Schizosaccharomyces pombe: one gene and its partners. Changing the gene in region 1 together with any one later gene gives a genetic interaction. Each region holds a gene or a part of one and is shown in the gene's direction. Other genes may lie near its edges.

Region 1 (4,328 bases):
AGTATCTTACATTTTGCAAACTTGGTGGGTGAGCCAGCTACACAAAAAAGTTCTATCGCTTTAGTTTCTAAAATGGTTTCCTTATGGGGAGGTAAGGATGGAATTGCTGGATTCGAAAATTTTACTTTATCATTGACACCATTATGTTTTGAAATGCCTGTTAACCCAAATTTTAACACCCGTGATGGTCAGTCTTTGGTAGTTTTAGGGGAACTGGCTGGATTACAAAAAATAATACTTGAAAAGCTAGGTGATATATACAAGTCATATCTTGTAACGGTGTATTTTCCCACCGTCAACTTTCCGGACGTAATGGCTTCTGAATATTTACAAGCTTTATCAAATCTGGATAGTAGATCATTCAAACAATTTTTTCAAAAATTTATTCAAGCATTAAAAAGTGGTAATGTATGAGAAGCTTTTGCTTTTCACGGTTTATACATAGGGTGTTTATACAAACATTTCAATAAAAATGATTATTTCGGACTTGTTGGATCATTGTGGTGCAACGTCTAGTAAAATATATCGTGAGCTGTAGATTGATAGATTCGTCTAACGGGAAGCATTATTTTGTCTAGATGTTTTATGCTGCTGTCGGTATTATTCAATTTATAAAAAGATGTTTAGCTTCAGAATGTCCGTTCTCTTGAGGTGGTGCACGCTTTCCTTAAAACGTCACCTCTTGCTCTCTTGCCTATTATCAATCAGTCTTATTTTTTTGAATATAAATAAACTGACAAAAAAAATCGTTTCTCTTATTAAAATTAATTGACTATACCCAAACAAGTTACGAATTAAGCATTCTTAAAATGGACATTACTGAAACAGATTTGGATGCTTTGAAATGCAGATCGAGTGCTACAAAAAGCGGATATATTCATGATCCTTTTATAAAATTCTTTAGTCCTAGTCGAAATTCGCATAAACCTCCTATCATAAATCGAGGAACCTATGTTAGAACATGGTCTATAGACCACATTCTTCAAAAATTCATAGAATCTTTTGATGGTAAAAAACAAATTATTTCACTAGGAGCCGGTACTGATACTCGAGTATTTCGATATATTGTATGCTTATGCTAAAACAAAAGATAAATGCAGTCTTTACTAACTACAGTAAGTCTGAATACGGACCTGAAAATTTAAAATTTATTGAATTCGATTTTTACCCAAATTGTATACGGAAAATTCGAACAATTGAGAAGCATGAAGCGTTAAAGCAAAACATCGGGGATTATGTTGTGGGTGAGCTAATTTTAGAAAAGTTGACTTACAAATTATTAATTTGCTGACCATAAAAGACATTTCTGGAGGGTCTTTAGTTTCTGGCTCTTTGGACATATATTCTTACGATATTCGAGAAATAGTCCATAAAGGATTTCCTGGGTTTGTAGATTTTTCTTTGCCGACTATTGTTCTGTCAGAATGTTGTTTGTGTTATTTGGAACCTGAAGAAGCTAGTTCATTATGCCGGTGGTTTCAAAATATGTTTGCAACTTCTGGCATTGTTGTTTATGAACCTATTCAGGGGATGGATAACTTTGGAAAAATGATGAAGGCTAATCTTTCTGTACGATGCTTGCATATCATTTCACAGATTAAGAACTAACAAAATTTAGGCAAGAGGAGTGATTCTTAAAACACTCGATTGTTATGAGACAACTGAGCAGCAAAGGATGAGGTTTCTTGATTATGGATACTCGGAAGTAATTGCAGAAGATTTTTTAACTATTGAAGAAACCTGGATACCCATAGAAGAAAAGAAAAGAACGATGAGCATAGAAATGCTTGATGAGTTGGAAGAATGGCAATTGTTAGCAAAGCATTACTGCTTAACTTTTGCAGCTACAGAAAACCTTTGGAATCAGATAATATTGCAACTTCCTCATTTAAAAACTTAATCAAATTATATAACTTTTACATCTGCTATAGATAAATTCAATTTTATACTTTTTTTTAAATTACGTATGTAACCTTTCAGTTCGTTAATATGTTCGTCGTCGAAACGGACTTATGCAACAAGAAACCCATTAGATATAAGTATTCGAAACCATTGAAGCACACTTCTCATGTTTGATTTGAATTTTTACTCTGAAGCCTGATAGCAATTGTTGATAATGGACGCCCCTTTGATTGCCTCTGTTATTTTACCTGAGTTTGGAAAAGGAACCGTTGCTACAGATAATATCCCAATTGGTATGCTCAAAAAGCGAAGTAACCACTAAATCTTTTAGGAAAGATAATTATTCGGAAAAGGGTTGATATTTTGAGCTTAGATTCTGCTAATCTGACGCGCACTTGCTCGACTTGCACGGAAGAGAAGGTGAAAACGCAACGCTGCGCGGCATGTAAAATAATTCATTACTGTTCCAAGGTAAACAAGTCTATTATGTTTTCGTAAAACAGATTTACAATCTGGCGAATTTGCTTATCGAGCTTTCAATTACAAACTCAATTTGTTCGTGAAAAGCGACTACTCATTTTAACTTAGTACTAACAGGCTTTTTAGGGTTGTCAGAAAGCAGACTGGCCTTTCCACAAATTAGAATGCAAAGCACTACAAGCGTCAAAGCAAAACGGTATACTACCTTCTGTATGTCGGTTATTAATACGATTGTATCTCTTATGGCAAAAAAATCCTGCTATCATTGAACCTATGGAAGGACACCAAAACGAATTTCAAGCTGTATCCTCCAGTTGGTCAGATGCAGAATTAATTGCTTCTGCAGCCTCACATTATACCCAAATTTATCAAGCAGAACTGTTTCAAAAACTTTTCTGTAGGCTAGCTGTTAATGCTATGAATCTTGTAACTTCGTCTTTCGATTCTTTGGGTATGTGTTTAGATACTATACTCTGTCGCTTAAATCATTCTTGTGATCCAAATTGCCAAATAATTTTCGATGGTGCAATTGTGCAGCTTGTTTCTAAACGTGATATTAAGAAAGATGAACAGCTTTTCATCTCATACATTGATATTCGACTTCCAAAGTCAATCAGACAGAAACAGCTTCTCAAAAAGTATTTTTTTTCTTGTTATTGTCCAAGGTGTGAGAACGACCACACTACAAAAGAAACAGATGGTTCAAAATGGATGGGACGACTTCGCAACTCTAAATCGCTTATGAAAAATTTAGCAATGGCCAGGGACTTATGGTCCTGTGGTTGGAAACAAACCGCTTTTCCTTGGTCCAATCTTTTACATCATATTAAACTAGGAATGCTTGATGAGTCTAATTTCAATGGTGCGTTTGCCGCTTTATATCTGAAAAGTAGTGCTGATGAATTTTTGGATGCACTTCATGTGGTTGATGAGTATCAATTACTGCTTTTGGGAAAGCAAGTGGCTATGGAAGTAAAGCATTTAATGTTTCCTAATGACAAACCTTTGGAGATGGAGTTCCCGTCCAGCTCTCAACCTCAGCAGACTGTACCTACCAATAACTCGTTATTTTTATTGAAGAATATACCATCATTTGGAGGGTTACACCACTGTATTTTGGGCCGCTATTCTATTTCCCTTGATGATTTTGTTTTGTGGCTTTTAGATAGGGCTCAAAGGCTACAGCAAGCAGTTAGAATAAGTCATCCTTCGACCACATTTTGTTCAAATGTGGAAAATGACATTAAAGAAATATTTGAGGTTTGTAAAGACTATTGCATGCTTCATGTTCAAAACAATTTGAAAGCATTTGAAGAAAAATTATGGGCCGCTTGTAAAGACTTCCTAGTAACATACTAAATAAAATTTATTATTCTCGAAACAACGACTTGCTTTACAAGTGTAAAGTCTCTTATATTCAAATCAACAACACGGGGCACCAGTGGTACATTAACATTTAAAGTAAGCTAAAATTACATTTATCAAACGAAAAATACTATTACGAATGGAGCACTAAAAAAAAATTGGTAAAATAAAACCAACACGGCGATTTATTTTTATGAAAGCGTAATGAAAACAAGGGATCATTTGGTTTAGTCGAAAAGACCGAAACCCATCTAAAATTGTTAGTAAGATGCTTTTGAGAAACAAAGAATGCTTCTTATCTAAAATTAACTTACGTCTTCATCAGATTCCTCCTCTTCCTTGGCTTCCTCCTTAGCAGCCTCCTCAGCAGCAGGGGCAGCACCGCCAGCAGCGGCGGCAGGAGCAGCAGAAGCAGCACCACCAGTGGGGACAGTAGCAAGCTTCTCGTTACCAGCAGCGATGAGCTCGTCGATATCCTTACCGTTAAGCTCGTTGATCAAAGTTTCAATGCGCTCAGATTCAGCTTCAATACCGACAGTAGACAAAACAGACTCGATATCAGAAGCGGAAGGGGAGTCCTT
Region 2 (4,392 bases), on another chromosome or scaffold:
AAACTATAACATCGCGATTTTTATTACAAAAGAACTTTTAAAACAAAATCAAATAAAGTAACTTTTTAATTAAAATACCAATCTTTTGCTACAACTTCCAATACCATCATCACCTTGTCCTGTTTGCGTAGATATCTGTCGATAACCAACCTTCGTCGCCTATTTACCATCACCTTATTTTAACTGTGTTTTGAAGTTGAACGTAAAAAAAATTTCTGAAATGTCAAAATCGCTTATTGTTTCGTCGCCAGGAAAAACGATTTTGTTTGGGGAACATGCCGTTGTATATGGAGCTGTAAGTTTACCTAAGGTTTAAAGCAGATTACATTAGCGAGAGTTTTTAACAGGCTAGTACTGGATACAGCTCTGTTATGCATATATGATTTCTTTGTAACATAGTATTTGCAAAGCGAACACCACTTTTAACTTTGACAGTCGTCGCAAATGTCATTCTGCTATAGCCATGCTTATTTTTGATTCTAATCTTAAGCCATTTTAAAGCGAAAATATGGAGATCATTTAAATTTTTATGCTAACTTTCTAGACTGCGTTAGCTGCAGCTGTATCGTTACGGAGTTACTGTAAATTACAGACGACTAATAACAATGAAATAGTAATTGTGATGAGTGATATAGGGACCGAACGCCGATGGAATCTTCAATCGCTACCTTGGCAGCATGTAACAGTGGAAAACGTTCAGCACCCGGCATCATCTCCCAATCTGGACCTTTTACAAGGATTAGGAGAGCTATTAAAAAATGAAGAAAACGGACTTATTCACTCAGCAATGCTTTGTACCCTTTACTTGTTCACGTCTTTGTCTTCTCCTTCTCAGGGTTGTACTTTAACTATTAGCTCCCAAGTACCTTTGGGTGCTGGATTAGGTAGTAGTGCTACTATATCAGTTGTTGTCGCTACAAGTTTACTACTAGCTTTTGGTAATATTGAACCTCCTAGCTCAAATTCTCTTCAAAACAACAAAGCACTTGCGTTGATAGAGGCTTGGTCTTTTCTAGGTGAATGCTGTATTCATGGAACACCAAGTGGTATTGATAATGCAGTAGCAACAAATGGAGGACTTATCGCTTTTCGTAAAGCTACAGCTCATCAGAGTGCCATGAAAGAATTCTTAAAGCCTAAAGATACCTTATCTGTTATGATCACTGATACCAAACAACCAAAAAGTACTAAAAAACTTGTACAAGGAGTTTTTGAACTGAAGGAAAGACTACCAACTGTGATTGACTCAATAATAGATGCAATCGATGGCATATCAAAGTCTGCCGTCCTCGCATTGACTTCGGAGAGCGATAAAAACTCCTCCGCTAAAAAGTTAGGAGAGTTTATTGTTCTTAATCAAAAACTCTTAGAATGCTTGGGTGTATCCCATTATTCCATTGATCGCGTTTTACAAGCCACTAAGTCAATTGGATGGACGAAGCTTACAGGTGCCGGTGGTGGAGGTTGTACGATTACTTTATTAACACCTGAGTGCAAAGAAGAGGAATTTAAGTTATGTAAAGAATCACTATTAGCCCATAAAAATTCTATTTACGATGTTCAATTAGGTGGACCTGGTGTTTCAGTGGTAACCGACTCAGATTCATTTTTCCCTCAATATGAGTCTGACTTTGATTTTAAAAAATTGAATTTACTCAGCAAATTTAATAAATATTATATTTAAAGTTTTTATGTATAATCAAATTTTCATAACTGGTATATATATGAGTGGCTTGATAATGAACGCGGCTTGTCGTTCACCAACCACCACAGTAGAAGCTAGTCTATAAGAGTCGTTGTCCGTTCTTTAGCAACACTCCTTTCCACTCTTTTATATATCAACTATATACCAAATTTCATCTTTTCTTTCTTTTTTTAGTATTAGACGCGTTTTATCTAGTATTTTCTAAAAAAATGCGTACTACTTTCGCGACCGTCGCTTTAGCTTTTTTATCGACCGTTGGAGCTTTGCCCTATGCTCCTAACCATCGCCATCACCGTCGTGATGATGATGGCGTTTTAACCGTGTATGAGACTATCTTGGAGACTGTTTATGTTACCGCAGTTCCTGGTGCTAACTCATCTTCCTCATATACTTCTTACTCCACTGGTTTAGCTTCTGTTACCGAGTCGTCCGACGATGGTGCTTCAACGGCTTTACCTACTACCTCTACGGAATCTGTGGTTGTAACAACCAGTGCCCCTGCTGCTAGTTCCTCTGCCACTAGCTACCCTGCCACTTTTGTTAGTACTCCTCTATATACTATGGACAACGTTACTGCACCCGTATGGTCCAATACTTCTGTCCCTGTATCAACTCCCGAGACATCTGCCACTTCTAGTTCTGAATTTTTCACTTCGTATCCTGCTACCAGTTCCGAATCTAGCTCTTCTTATCCTGCTTCTAGTACTGAAGTTGCTAGCTCTTATTCTGCTTCTAGTACTGAAGTTACTAGTTCTTATCCTGCTAGCTCTGAAGTTGCTACGTCAACTTCATCCTATGTGGCTCCTGTCTCGTCTTCAGTTGCTTCTTCATCAGAGATATCAGCTGGCTCTGCTACATCTTACGTCCCCACTTCCTCATCATCTATTGCTCTTTCTTCTGTAGTTGCAAGTGCCAGTGTTTCTGCTGCTAACAAGGGAGTTAGTACTCCTGCTGTTTCTTCAGCTGCCGCCTCCTCTTCAGCTGTCGTTTCCTCTGTTGTCTCTAGTGCCACTTCTGTTGCTGCTTCTAGTACTATTTCCAGTGCTACCTCAAGCTCTGCATCAGCATCTCCTACTAGTTCTTCAGTTTCTGGCAAGCGCGGTTTGGCCTGGATTCCTGGAACTGACCTTGGTTACTCTGATAACTTTGTCAATAAGGGCATCAACTGGTATTACAACTGGGGTAGTTATTCATCTGGTCTGAGTTCCTCTTTTGAATATGTTCTCAACCAACATGATGCCAATAGCCTTTCTTCAGCTTCTTCTGTTTTCACTGGTGGTGCTACCGTCATTGGATTTAATGAGCCTGATTTGTCCGCTGCTGGAAATCCTATAGATGCAGCTACTGCAGCTAGTTATTATCTTCAATACTTAACACCTCTTCGTGAATCTGGTGCCATTGGTTATTTGGGATCACCTGCCATCAGTAACGTAGGTGAAGATTGGCTTTCTGAATTCATGAGCGCATGCTCTGATTGTAAGATCGATTTCATTGCTTGCCATTGGTATGGTATTGACTTTAGCAATTTGCAAGATTATATTAACTCTCTCGCCAATTACGGTCTCCCTATTTGGCTTACTGAATTTGCTTGCACCAACTGGGATGATAGCAATTTACCTTCATTGGATGAAGTTAAGACTTTGATGACCAGCGCTCTTGGCTTTTTAGATGGACATGGATCTGTTGAGCGTTACAGTTGGTTTGCTCCTGCTACCGAACTCGGAGCCGGTGTTGGTAATAACAATGCCCTTATCAGTTCCTCTGGTGGATTAAGTGAAGTCGGAGAGATTTATATTTCTTGAACTCCTTAAATTTACACAAAATGGGAAATTATCTTGTGAGATATAATGGTAATTCTTATGCTTTTTTTTCGTTCTTTAAACTGTCAAATACTCTTATTTCTTCTTGCTCTGAAACTCTTTTTTATGATATTTTGTTTCATGGTTTTTGTCGCTTTTTTTTGAATACTCTGCCATCTATCAGATTGTTTAAGCTTTCTGAACTATGCTTATAGGAGATGTGCTTCTTATTACATCGATCTTTCATTTATTCATTCGTTTATTTTACCAACCATGAAGTTCATTGTGTTTGATGTCACAATTTTTAAAGCGTGTATTCAATGAATATGCTGCGTGTTTTAATTTAATACAGTCGTTAAATGTCTTTTAAATTTTATTAGTAATCTTTTCTGTAAGCTTTGGAACTCTTGATAAAGTCGTTTAACTTTATTTGCTGACATTGTTGATGATCTGTAGTATAAAGGTAAATAATAAGCGAAAGTCTCGTCTATAAAATGAAAACAAATGCATAATTGACTGCTGTAATGATAAAACAACTATTTCTCCATTGCGCCATTGTGGGTGGTTTGATATCTGGGTGTTCTTTACATGCTTGTTTGCCTCTTTTCAAAAGGAGGTCTTAGCAACTTTGGACACACGAACAAGAAAAGGCTTATTGAACTATAGGATATTAGAAGCATGAGCAATTTAAGAGACATCACAAACTTAATTAGCAGATATTAAAAGAAAAAGTTATCTCGAATCTCTTGCGAAAAATTTATTAAAGTAACCTTTTTTTTGCATAGTTCTTTGCAGCAGATTTAACTTACGCCGAGTAATCTAGTACTAGATTCTTAACCTGCTCTACTCACTGTAATCATAAAAAGAAACTCTACTCATGCCCCTCTT
Region 3 (4,621 bases), on another chromosome or scaffold:
GCTTCAAAATTTTATATGACTGCAGTTACTTCCGTTTATTTTCAACAAGAAAGGAGTAATTAACAATACAGTAAGGATGCAGTGAAGTTAAAAAAAATAAATAAATAAAATAAAAATTGGAAAGAAATAATATAGAAACTGATTGATATTAGTTAAATTTTTTGTACTCACTAATAAAACCTCATGCTTTTCTTTTTTTTAATTTATATGATAAAAAATTTATTGATAATAACTCTCAAGACTAAGTGCTATGATTCTACTAACTACAGAGTTATTTCACTTCTTTTGGCTGATTTTGTTTGTCAAGCATTTCATTGATTAACGACATGAGAATTGTTAAAAAAATTTCACCATTTTTGTAATTAAATATTTACTACAAATGAAGAACTGAAGGTTTAACGTAAATTGTTACGTGACTGATAAAAAGAGGAACCTCTCAAAGGATTTTTAATACTTGGGAAGCAATTAATTAAGCATAACAATAGAACACTGTATTAATTTATCTACGGACTTCTGTATACATCTTTACATGCAAACACAATAAGCTCTTGATAAAAATAACCAGGAAAAACGGTGTTACATATTAAAATATTGCTACTGTATATAAAATCTCGTCCCTTTGAATCCAGTCTATACTTCTATAATGTTCAAACATGCTTTCAAACTTCCAACCTTCATTGAACCTGTCCACATCGCAAGGAACATGTGACCTGGTAAAGATGGCAAAAATTGTTGGGAGCAGTAGGTGCAAAAGTTAGAGCTTCGGCAGATGTTTCGAAAACAAACAGAAAATTGCAAGGAAGACATAAAGAAAACAAAACCAATAAAGCAGAAAATGTATAAAAACTAGCTATCTTCTGCTAAAACTCACATTTAAGTTACACAAAGTTGTGTACGATTGTTCTGCTATTTAACGCTTTAGCTATTTCACAACCGAACCTATGCGGTAATGAATGCAATCATGCACAAACCAATCTGATGTTTAGTACAGCTTCAACAAAAGTTTTTCGAGTTTGATCGAAAATTTAAGGACAATTAAATTTTTCTACAACAACAGAAAATAAAATGGTTTGACAGTGAATCCTCGACAATACTATCATTGGTATCAATTCCTTGCTATCCACAACTTATAATTATAGCGTTACGTTAAAATATTTTATATTATTTTTAACAAACACCATTATGTTACGAATAAAAAAGAAATTTCATAATGGAATACAAGTTGACTCAACGGATTCTATAATAAGTGTCAGGTAGGTATATCCCTTTTTTTTTCGACCATACTAAAATCAATCAACATTCATTTTTTATTTTGAGAAACTTGAAGGTGTTCGAAATTAATGTAATTTTTTTAATTGATCTGCCGTAAATATTAAAAATCCTAAAACAACGAAATCTAAGTCTGATTACGTTATAGAGATCATTTATGGATTGGCCGAATTCTTCTTTCATTTCTCCTTACAAGCATCTTATTTTTCCCTAATTTGTAAAGAAAGTATTTCATAAAGCCTCAATAATTGTTTCTGTGTATCTTTTTTTTACCTATCAGTTTCATGCGTCAGTTTGCCATTCTAAGTAACAATGTTTCTCCACGCGGTTTACTGACTTTGAGGCTTTGAATTTTTGTCGTTCTAACCTATACCTTGAAAACAAACAGGCCTTTCAGCTTAACCTACCCTTTTCATTCTGCTGTTTGCAGAGAAAAGACTTTGACGATTGAAAATTTCTGGCATTTGAATTGACTTTTGTTGGGAACATTTTGATCAATTTACTTTTAGAGTGATTACTCCTTATTCCTGTTTTTTGAGAAGCTTTTGTTGATAGACCGCATAATAATCTTATCCTATTATTTATAGGAAATACTTTTTTTTCTTGTTATACTTTAACCGGTTTCACTGTTGATCGACCTTATTGGTTTTTTCTTTTTTTTTTTGCTTTTCCTTGATTTGATTCCTGTTGTTGTGTGGAATTCGGTTTAACTAGTGAAAAAGTTTTCTTAAGGATTCAATCTTTTTATCCGTCATTTAGTGAAAAATTATGGGATTCTTTTCTTCTCTTGGCCAAATTAATGTTTGGAGCCTTCTAAGGCCCATTATCGAAAGTGACTTGGAAGTTATTGTGATCGCTTTGGGTGGTTATGTATTAGCTAAAAAAGGCTTTCTTCCTAGAGATGCTCAGAAGGTATGATTCATTTTACCCCCCGTTTTAAAGAAAAATGGAGCAGTGAAATAAAGAAATAAATTTTCAACTATTAAATTTCTTCTCTTCATTTATCTTTGCGTTCTCTAGTATTTTACTAACTTTACACAGGTAATATCCAGCCTGAACGTTTATTTCTTTACTCCTTGTCTAGTATTTGAAAAAGTTGGCAACGGTTTGAATTTGAAGATGCTGATTGATCTTTCTCTTTTACCCGTGTTTTATGTTATCATCTCCGCAGCGTAAGTATTTAAGTCATTCACTTTGCTAACTTTCAGTTCTATTCTGATATCATTTTTACTTGCAAAACTCTTCCGACTGACACCTCGCCAAAGGAATTTCGCCACTGCCTGCATAACGTTTCAAAACGTACGTACCTTACCTGCAAGAATATTGTTCGTTTGTTTTTGTTTACTAACTCTTTAGTCAAATTCCTTACCTTTGGCCTTGGTATCTTCTTTAGCTACTACTGTAAAGGATTTGCTATGGGACAAAATTCCCGATGATACACCTGATAAGGTTGCTTCACGCGGTATTATGTATTTGCTTATTTTCTCTCAGTTAGGTCAAGCTCTTCGTTGGTCCTATGGTTATCGTATTCTCCTTTCTCCGAATCAACCGGAGGACCCTCTACCTATCGGTAACCGTTCTTGGTCACATAGCGATGTTAATGAAGAAGAAATTCAGAATTTGTTGGCTTCTAGTGCAAATGTAGATGGGGTTCAAAATTCTGTTCAGGCAAATGAGGGCTCAACTGTTCAAACTGATTCTTCTGCGATTTCCAAAAATGACAACGTTCAAGTTGAAACCTCTAACGAAGAAGTTGGTGGGTTTGGAGCAGCCTCTTCGAAGATCTCGAAGTTTATTGTTTTACTGTTAGATTTCTTCAGCCCTCCTTTATACTCCTTATTTATCGCCTTATTTATTGCTGTTGTTCCTCCTCTGCAACGCTTTTTCTTCGAAGAAGGTTCGTTCGTTGAAGGTAGCATCACCAGTGGTATTCGAATGGCTGGTCAAGTTGCTGTTCCTATGATTTTGGTAGTTTTGGGAGCAAGTCTTGCTACTGATATTTCCAAAACTGAACCTACTCAAGAAGTCCGTAAAAATAACGATACTCGAGTAATTATTGTGTGTCTTCTTGGCCGTATGGTAGTTGTTCCTCTGGCATTATTACCCGCTTTCAGTTTACTCTCATACTTCAGTGAAATAAGTACTGTTGATGATCCTGTTTTTGTTGTTGTTATTTTCTTGCTTGTGGGAAGCCCAACCGCCATTCAATTAACACAAATCTGCCAACTGAATGGTGTATTTGAACGCGAGTGTGCCAAAGTTTTATGGTGGTCTTATGCCGTCTTTACTCCTCCTAATTCGTTGTTGCTAGCCTTTGCTAGTCTTTTAGTTGTGAAATGGACAAAATAAAGTTAAAATCGTTAACGTCTGATGATTTTTGTTTTACAATATCGTTTTCTGCGTATACTTTAACAATTGAGAGCACACGGAAAGTTTACTTATCACATTAATTTAACATAGTCAATTGGTCAAACGTAGTGACTCGATATTGATTAACCTGGCGGTCTTTTTCCATTTCGAAAAGCTCACATTTAATATGTTTTTATTGGTTTAACTGGTATTATTAATACCGCTAAATAGTTTTTTTTAATCTTTTATTGTTTTCTTTTTAAACTCTGTTTGCTCTTATACAATGCATAAGAAATCACTTTCCATTTTCAATTTCTATAATGTTTGGATATCATGTTCATAATGATTCGTTATTGAAGTGTTCAGCTTTGTTGGACCTCGATAGCAACTTAAGTTATATCGTCTTTCTAATATAAAGTTTATTTTATGCGGCGTTTACCACAACGTCCCAAAAATCAAATATGTTGGTATAAATATTAGTTGACCGAATTGTTTTACTATTATAGTTTGATTATTTAATCAAGAATCAAGTAACACGGCGCTCAATATTATTAAAGGAAATAAAGCAATAATAGTATCAATTCGAAGAAAATGTGAAAGAAATATTGGATCAATACTATGTTCCATAATGGCGATTCATAATGATTCTCATTCTTTCATCGTTAAGGTCGTTCGTTACATAGCTAACTACACCGCGTTGAAAACACTGCTCATTAGGCTTCCAACAGCAATTTTCCCTTACTACTGACATTGCATTGTATATTTTGTTCACTATTTCTACAACCATCAGTAGCTTAGCTTTAGTAGACGCTTAAGAGATAAAAGAAATCAATTTCGGTGAGGTGCGATGCTATGCAAGAACTGTATCTTTTAGGAGTAGTCCCCTCGAGGCGTTTTGAAGCAGTTGTAAATTCTTTATCAAAAACGTTGGATGGTCCGAAAACAATATTGGAGTTTTGGGTAGTTTACCGTCCTAAAGGTATGTCGTGAAAAATGCATATGT
Region 4 (4,469 bases), 2.3 Mb from region 1:
TTTAGGCTTTATCGTCGTCCATGCATCAGCAACATATCTGACAAACGGGTCATGGCCGCCAAAAGTATCTCTTCAGGAATGGGATCATTTAGAAAAGAAACTGGGAATGGGTTAAAAGAAATACTTTTGGCAGTGGAGTCTACGAGCTCTTTTTGTACGACATTGTCTTGTAAAACAAGAACAGCATGCCGAAACGAACTTGGTAAACTCGCTTCTAACTCTTTTGAAGTAATAGCTGAAGTCTGACTGTTGATTTGAACAACAAAGTCATATCCACCTTTGTAAGGAGAACTTTTACACAGCTGAGAAGAAAGACATGACCGCACCTTGTAACCCCAATAATGACCACCTTTTTCTCGTGGAGCTGAAAAAGACACGATATCACCTTGAAGCTGGCCTTCTTCGTTTGGAGACTGCGCTTTTAATCGAACCGTGACCCTTGTTCTAGGAGCAAGGACGCTGGGGCTGGAAACGATTACATTGTGAGATAGTCCAGCATTTATAATATATTTATTCTTTGCTTGCGGAGATGGATGAGTAACGATTCCCTCTCGGTATGGGAATTCAATATTCACTGTGCTAGCCTTGTCATTTCTGAGGGGAAGTAATGGAAAGCAGCTAGTATATTTTAGATGTGGATTTAGTGGAAACAATTCCTTCCTCATAAAGAAAGGCGTTTCGAAATAGCATAATAAGTCCGTGAGAAATTTTGTGGGATCCTTTAAATAAGCATCAGAGGAAAGTGTATGTACCTGGGTGTTTTGCACATATTCAGGGTCCTCTAGCAAAATAATTTCGTCAATACCATATAGAGAAACTATTCTCGAAATCTATATTTTGAGTTAATACGCGACAACAACGAATCTTTCAAACCTTCCAGACAAAACTCGTTTTAAGCTGCAAATTGTATGCTACATTTAGACTTGAAATAGGTAATGCTAAAGATATCGTATATCGTCTCGTTGGTGGTAAGCTTTGTATTTCGCTTTCTTTTTCCATAGCAGTTTCTGTAAGCAATTAATGAGAAGTAATAATATGGCCCAAGTAGCAGTATTTTATTTACTTTTTGCTGTCTTGGGAAACAGAATATTAGGATTTGGCTTTTTATAAAAATTTTAACGTCTTAAAAAGTTGGTGAAGAGTAAAGGCATGAATTTCATTTACCAGGCTAAAAACCGTCCATTTAATATAATTAAACTAATTTTAAATTTTTTTTGAAGTATTGATCAAGGTAAAGGGATATTTTATATCAATACTTTTATTGATAGGTAAAAAAAAAAATCCTGTACTTCATAAACAATGAAAAAAATTCAAACAAACAAATGTGTTTAATGCCATTCAATGAGTGCGATTTAAACTATCAATGAGTCTTCGTAAATACCAAAGGGCTATAGAATCCCCTTTTTTTTTTTTTTTTTTTTTCTTTATATGGAAATAATAAAAAAAATGGTGTACACTTTGCTTGCAATTTATATAAACCAACTATACACGCCGAAGCTTGTATATAACCGCTGTAAAAATTTGTTAGTAGAAAAAACAAGATGATATTTTATTAATTACATACATAATTTTTTAAGTCAATAGAAGTTCATCGACTCTGATTCAATTCATCTTCAATCTTACTCTATTTACTATTTACTTTTATGATTTTCGCTATATAATGAGTAGCACCGGGTATAACGCTATAACAGTTTAAAGTATAATTTCAATATCACTAAAAAAATCTAAAAACACGTTAGAGTACGTTAGGTAGGATGCATCGTACACGTTAATCAAAATCCTTCGAATGTCGAACACGCAGACTACAAATACAGCCAAGTTGCTGCCAATTATAAAAGCAACGTTTCTCTGCTCTTAGTACGTGGTTGGGTGGATCCTGATTTCTGTAAAAATCATATTCAATATCAATAACCAGTCCATCTTGACTCGTAGTCTTTGAAACGGTGTAAAAGGATTGTTGTCAGGATAAGCTATAATCTATTGTTGTTTAAATTGTAGAATCTTCCTCTTTTTTAAATATCGCCGATATAGCTTGACAAAAAGGCTCATTTTGAAAGCTAGGCGTTGTGTTCTCGCAAGGTTTCTTTCATTATCCGGTTTTTCGTATTTCTTAGTGAAAACGCCCTCTGTAACATCTTTACTGTTTTAATTTTCGGATATACTCGCGTATATATCGTTGGATCATTTATTTGCATTTAAAAAAGGGCCATATATATTCCATTTTCTTTACGACCCAGATCTTTATACCTTTTTTTCTCTTCTCTATTTATACCTTCTCGATTTACAGATATTCTCTTACCTTCTTTTCTACATTATTTGCACATTTAAAAAACCCCTAAGGTTTATTCTTTTAAACCGTTATCTTGTTCCATAGACGCGCATAACCAACTCATTTTTTCTCGCAAACTGTTTGTTTTGCACTTTTTTACTTTGTATTCTGCAAGATGTTCAACTTTCGTTTATTTTCTCGTAGAGGAAAAAGTTTAGGTCTCTTGGCCATCGTTTTATTGCTTTTTGGCTTTTATTCTTTAAAGTCTTCAATGCCTGTTTATTCCAATTCGATTGGTTCTCCCAGTGCCCATTCCTCTTCATACAAAGGTGTTTCTAAGGCGAAAACATCTCCACAAGATCCTGATTCCGTAGTCATGTTGATTGTTAGTTTTGACGACCATTATGATTCAAGTAGATCTGACTCCAGCTCTGTCTTCCTGGATAAAGTGCTTTCTGATCGTACAGAGTATGCCTTGCGTCATGGCTATACCCTAGTCCACAAGAAAGCCCGCGATATTCAAGCGAGGTATGGTGTCTATGGTACTTGGAGTATTATCCCAGCTTTGAGGGAAACTTTGGCTGAGTATCCCGACGCTGGCTGGATATGGTTGCTCGATGCAAAGGCTGTTATAATGAATCCTTCCGAATCTCTCAAGGATAGGGTCTTGAAACCAGAAAAACTGTCGCAGCATTTGCTTCTTAATTCTCCGATCGATCCATTAAAGAACTACATCCGTACACGCCGTAAAATGGATCCATCTGATGTATTTGTAATTACCACCAGTGATTATAATGGAATTAGTACGCGTTCTTTGCTTATTAAAAATAACAACTTTGCGCCATTTCTTTTAGATGCTTGGAATGAACCTTTGTTGAAATCCGCCGGTTTTGATCAAGCTGAGCGATCTGCGCTATCCCACTTATTGGAAGCACATAACACTATCTTGGATCATGTTGCACTTGTGTCTCCTAAAGTTTTAAATTCATACACCAACTCTGCGGTCGATTTGAATTACGAAGAAGGTGATTTCTTGGTTATTCTTCAGGACTGTGAGAACGCTGCTGCATGCGAGCGTATATTCGAGTATGTATTCTATTTATCATCTTGGTCTCTTGTATTTTTACTAACACTTCCAGCAACTACTATCAACAGAGAAAACTTCCAGCCATTAAAAAGCAGCTTTCGGAAGAAACGGTTGATGAACAATCGTAGGTTAGTACTGTCTTAGCATCTTACTTTCATTTCCAGTAACTCATCTTCATCTAAACCTATCTTTCAAATTCGGTGGTTTGCATATTCCTACATTAATTTAATGAATTTATACTTAATTTCCTTTGTTTGATCAAGGGAAGATATGTTTTTCGTTTACGGAAATACATCGCAGATTGGTTTACAAGTCAAGCAATTCATATGTTATATTCATCAAATCTTCTTAATGAAAGCACGTTAATTGCTATTCTATGCAAAGAAAGAAACATTTATTATGTTTGACCTGAAATCCACATAAACCCAGTTGAATAACATTAATGCATTTCATGGCGACATAGAGACATAGATGCTGTTGAAACATCACTCATGCAAAAAAAAGAGGCTGAAACATTTTTAAAGTAATTATAACTTCAAAATAAATTCTATAAACTAAATGATAAGAATAGATTAGTAACGATAGTGATCAGCCTTGTAAGGACCGTCAACAGGGATACCCAAGTAGTCGGATTGAACAGAAGTCAAAGTAGTAAGTTTGACACCGAGTTTACCCAAATGAAGACGGGCAACCTCCTCATCCAACTTCTTGGGAAGCATATGAACACCAAGAGGATAGCTGGTGTTATCGGTCCACAAAGCGATTTGGGCAAGGACCTGGTTAGTGAAAGAGCAGGACATAACAAAAGAGGGATGTCCGGTGGCACAACCAAGGTTAACGAGACGACCATCAGCTAAAAGAATGATATGACGACCGTTCTTCAATTCATAACGATCAACCTGGGGCTTGATGTTAACAACATCCTTAGCGTTAGCCTTCAACCAAGCGACATCGATCTCGACATCAAAATGACCAATGTTACAAACGATAGAGTCCTCCTTCATTTCGTTGAAGTGCTCACCACGAATAATGTCACGGCAACCAGTGGTGGTAACAAAGATTTGACCTTCCTTAACAGCCTCTTCCATAGTGGTGACTTCGAAACCGTCCATA

The links.
Region 2: mutations in set6 (region 1) and asl1 together harm fitness less than expected from each alone (positive genetic interaction), as found in Schizosaccharomyces pombe (one large-scale study listed by BioGRID).
Region 3: mutations in set6 (region 1) and SPOM_SPAC5D6.04 together harm fitness less than expected from each alone (positive genetic interaction), as found in Schizosaccharomyces pombe (one large-scale study listed by BioGRID).
Region 4: mutations in set6 (region 1) and gmh4 together harm fitness more than expected from each alone (negative genetic interaction), as found in Schizosaccharomyces pombe (one large-scale study listed by BioGRID).

The regions. Positions count from the first base shown.
Region 1 is NC_003423.3:3,643,231-3,647,558, reverse strand, and holds set6 (histone lysine methyltransferase Set6), read left to right. Parts: upstream 1-2,019; 5' UTR 2,020-2,116; coding exon 2,117-2,195; exon of another isoform or gene 2,196-2,233; coding exon 2,234-2,373; intron 2,374-2,508; coding exon 2,509-3,741; 3' UTR 3,742-3,766; downstream 3,767-4,328. Other genes in the region: karyopherin exportin-T Los1, read left to right, coding at 1-414; leucine carboxyl methyltransferase Ppm1, read left to right, coding at 810-1,067, 1,121-1,244, 1,301-1,569, 1,619-1,900; rpp201 (ribosomal protein P2), read right to left, coding at 3,975-3,998, 4,062-4,328.
Region 2 is NC_003424.3:191,411-195,802, reverse strand, and holds asl1 (O-glucosyl hydrolase Asl1), read left to right. Parts: upstream 1-1,752; 5' UTR 1,753-1,914; coding exon 1,915-3,507; 3' UTR 3,508-3,875; downstream 3,876-4,392. Other genes in the region: mevalonate kinase Erg12, read left to right, coding at 221-295, 545-1,684.
Region 3 is NC_003424.3:1,504,588-1,509,208, reverse strand, and holds SPOM_SPAC5D6.04 (auxin family transmembrane transporter), read left to right. Parts: upstream 1-1,633; 5' UTR 1,634-2,037; coding exon 2,038-2,181; exon of another isoform or gene 2,182-2,310; coding exon 2,311-2,441; exon of another isoform or gene 2,442-2,477; coding exon 2,478-2,568; exon of another isoform or gene 2,569-2,625; coding exon 2,626-3,618; 3' UTR 3,619-4,121; downstream 4,122-4,621. Other genes in the region: mediator complex subunit Med18, read left to right, coding at 4,471-4,597.
Region 4 is NC_003423.3:1,387,739-1,392,207, forward strand, and holds gmh4 (alpha-1,2-galactosyltransferase Gmh4), read left to right. Parts: upstream 1-1,797; 5' UTR 1,798-2,444; coding exon 2,445-3,355; intron 3,356-3,408; coding exon 3,409-3,484; 3' UTR 3,485-3,928; downstream 3,929-4,469. Other genes in the region: SPOM_SPBC8D2.16C (uncharacterized protein), read right to left, coding at 9-830, 874-999; SPOM_SPBC8D2.18C (adenosylhomocysteinase), read right to left, coding at 3,929-4,469.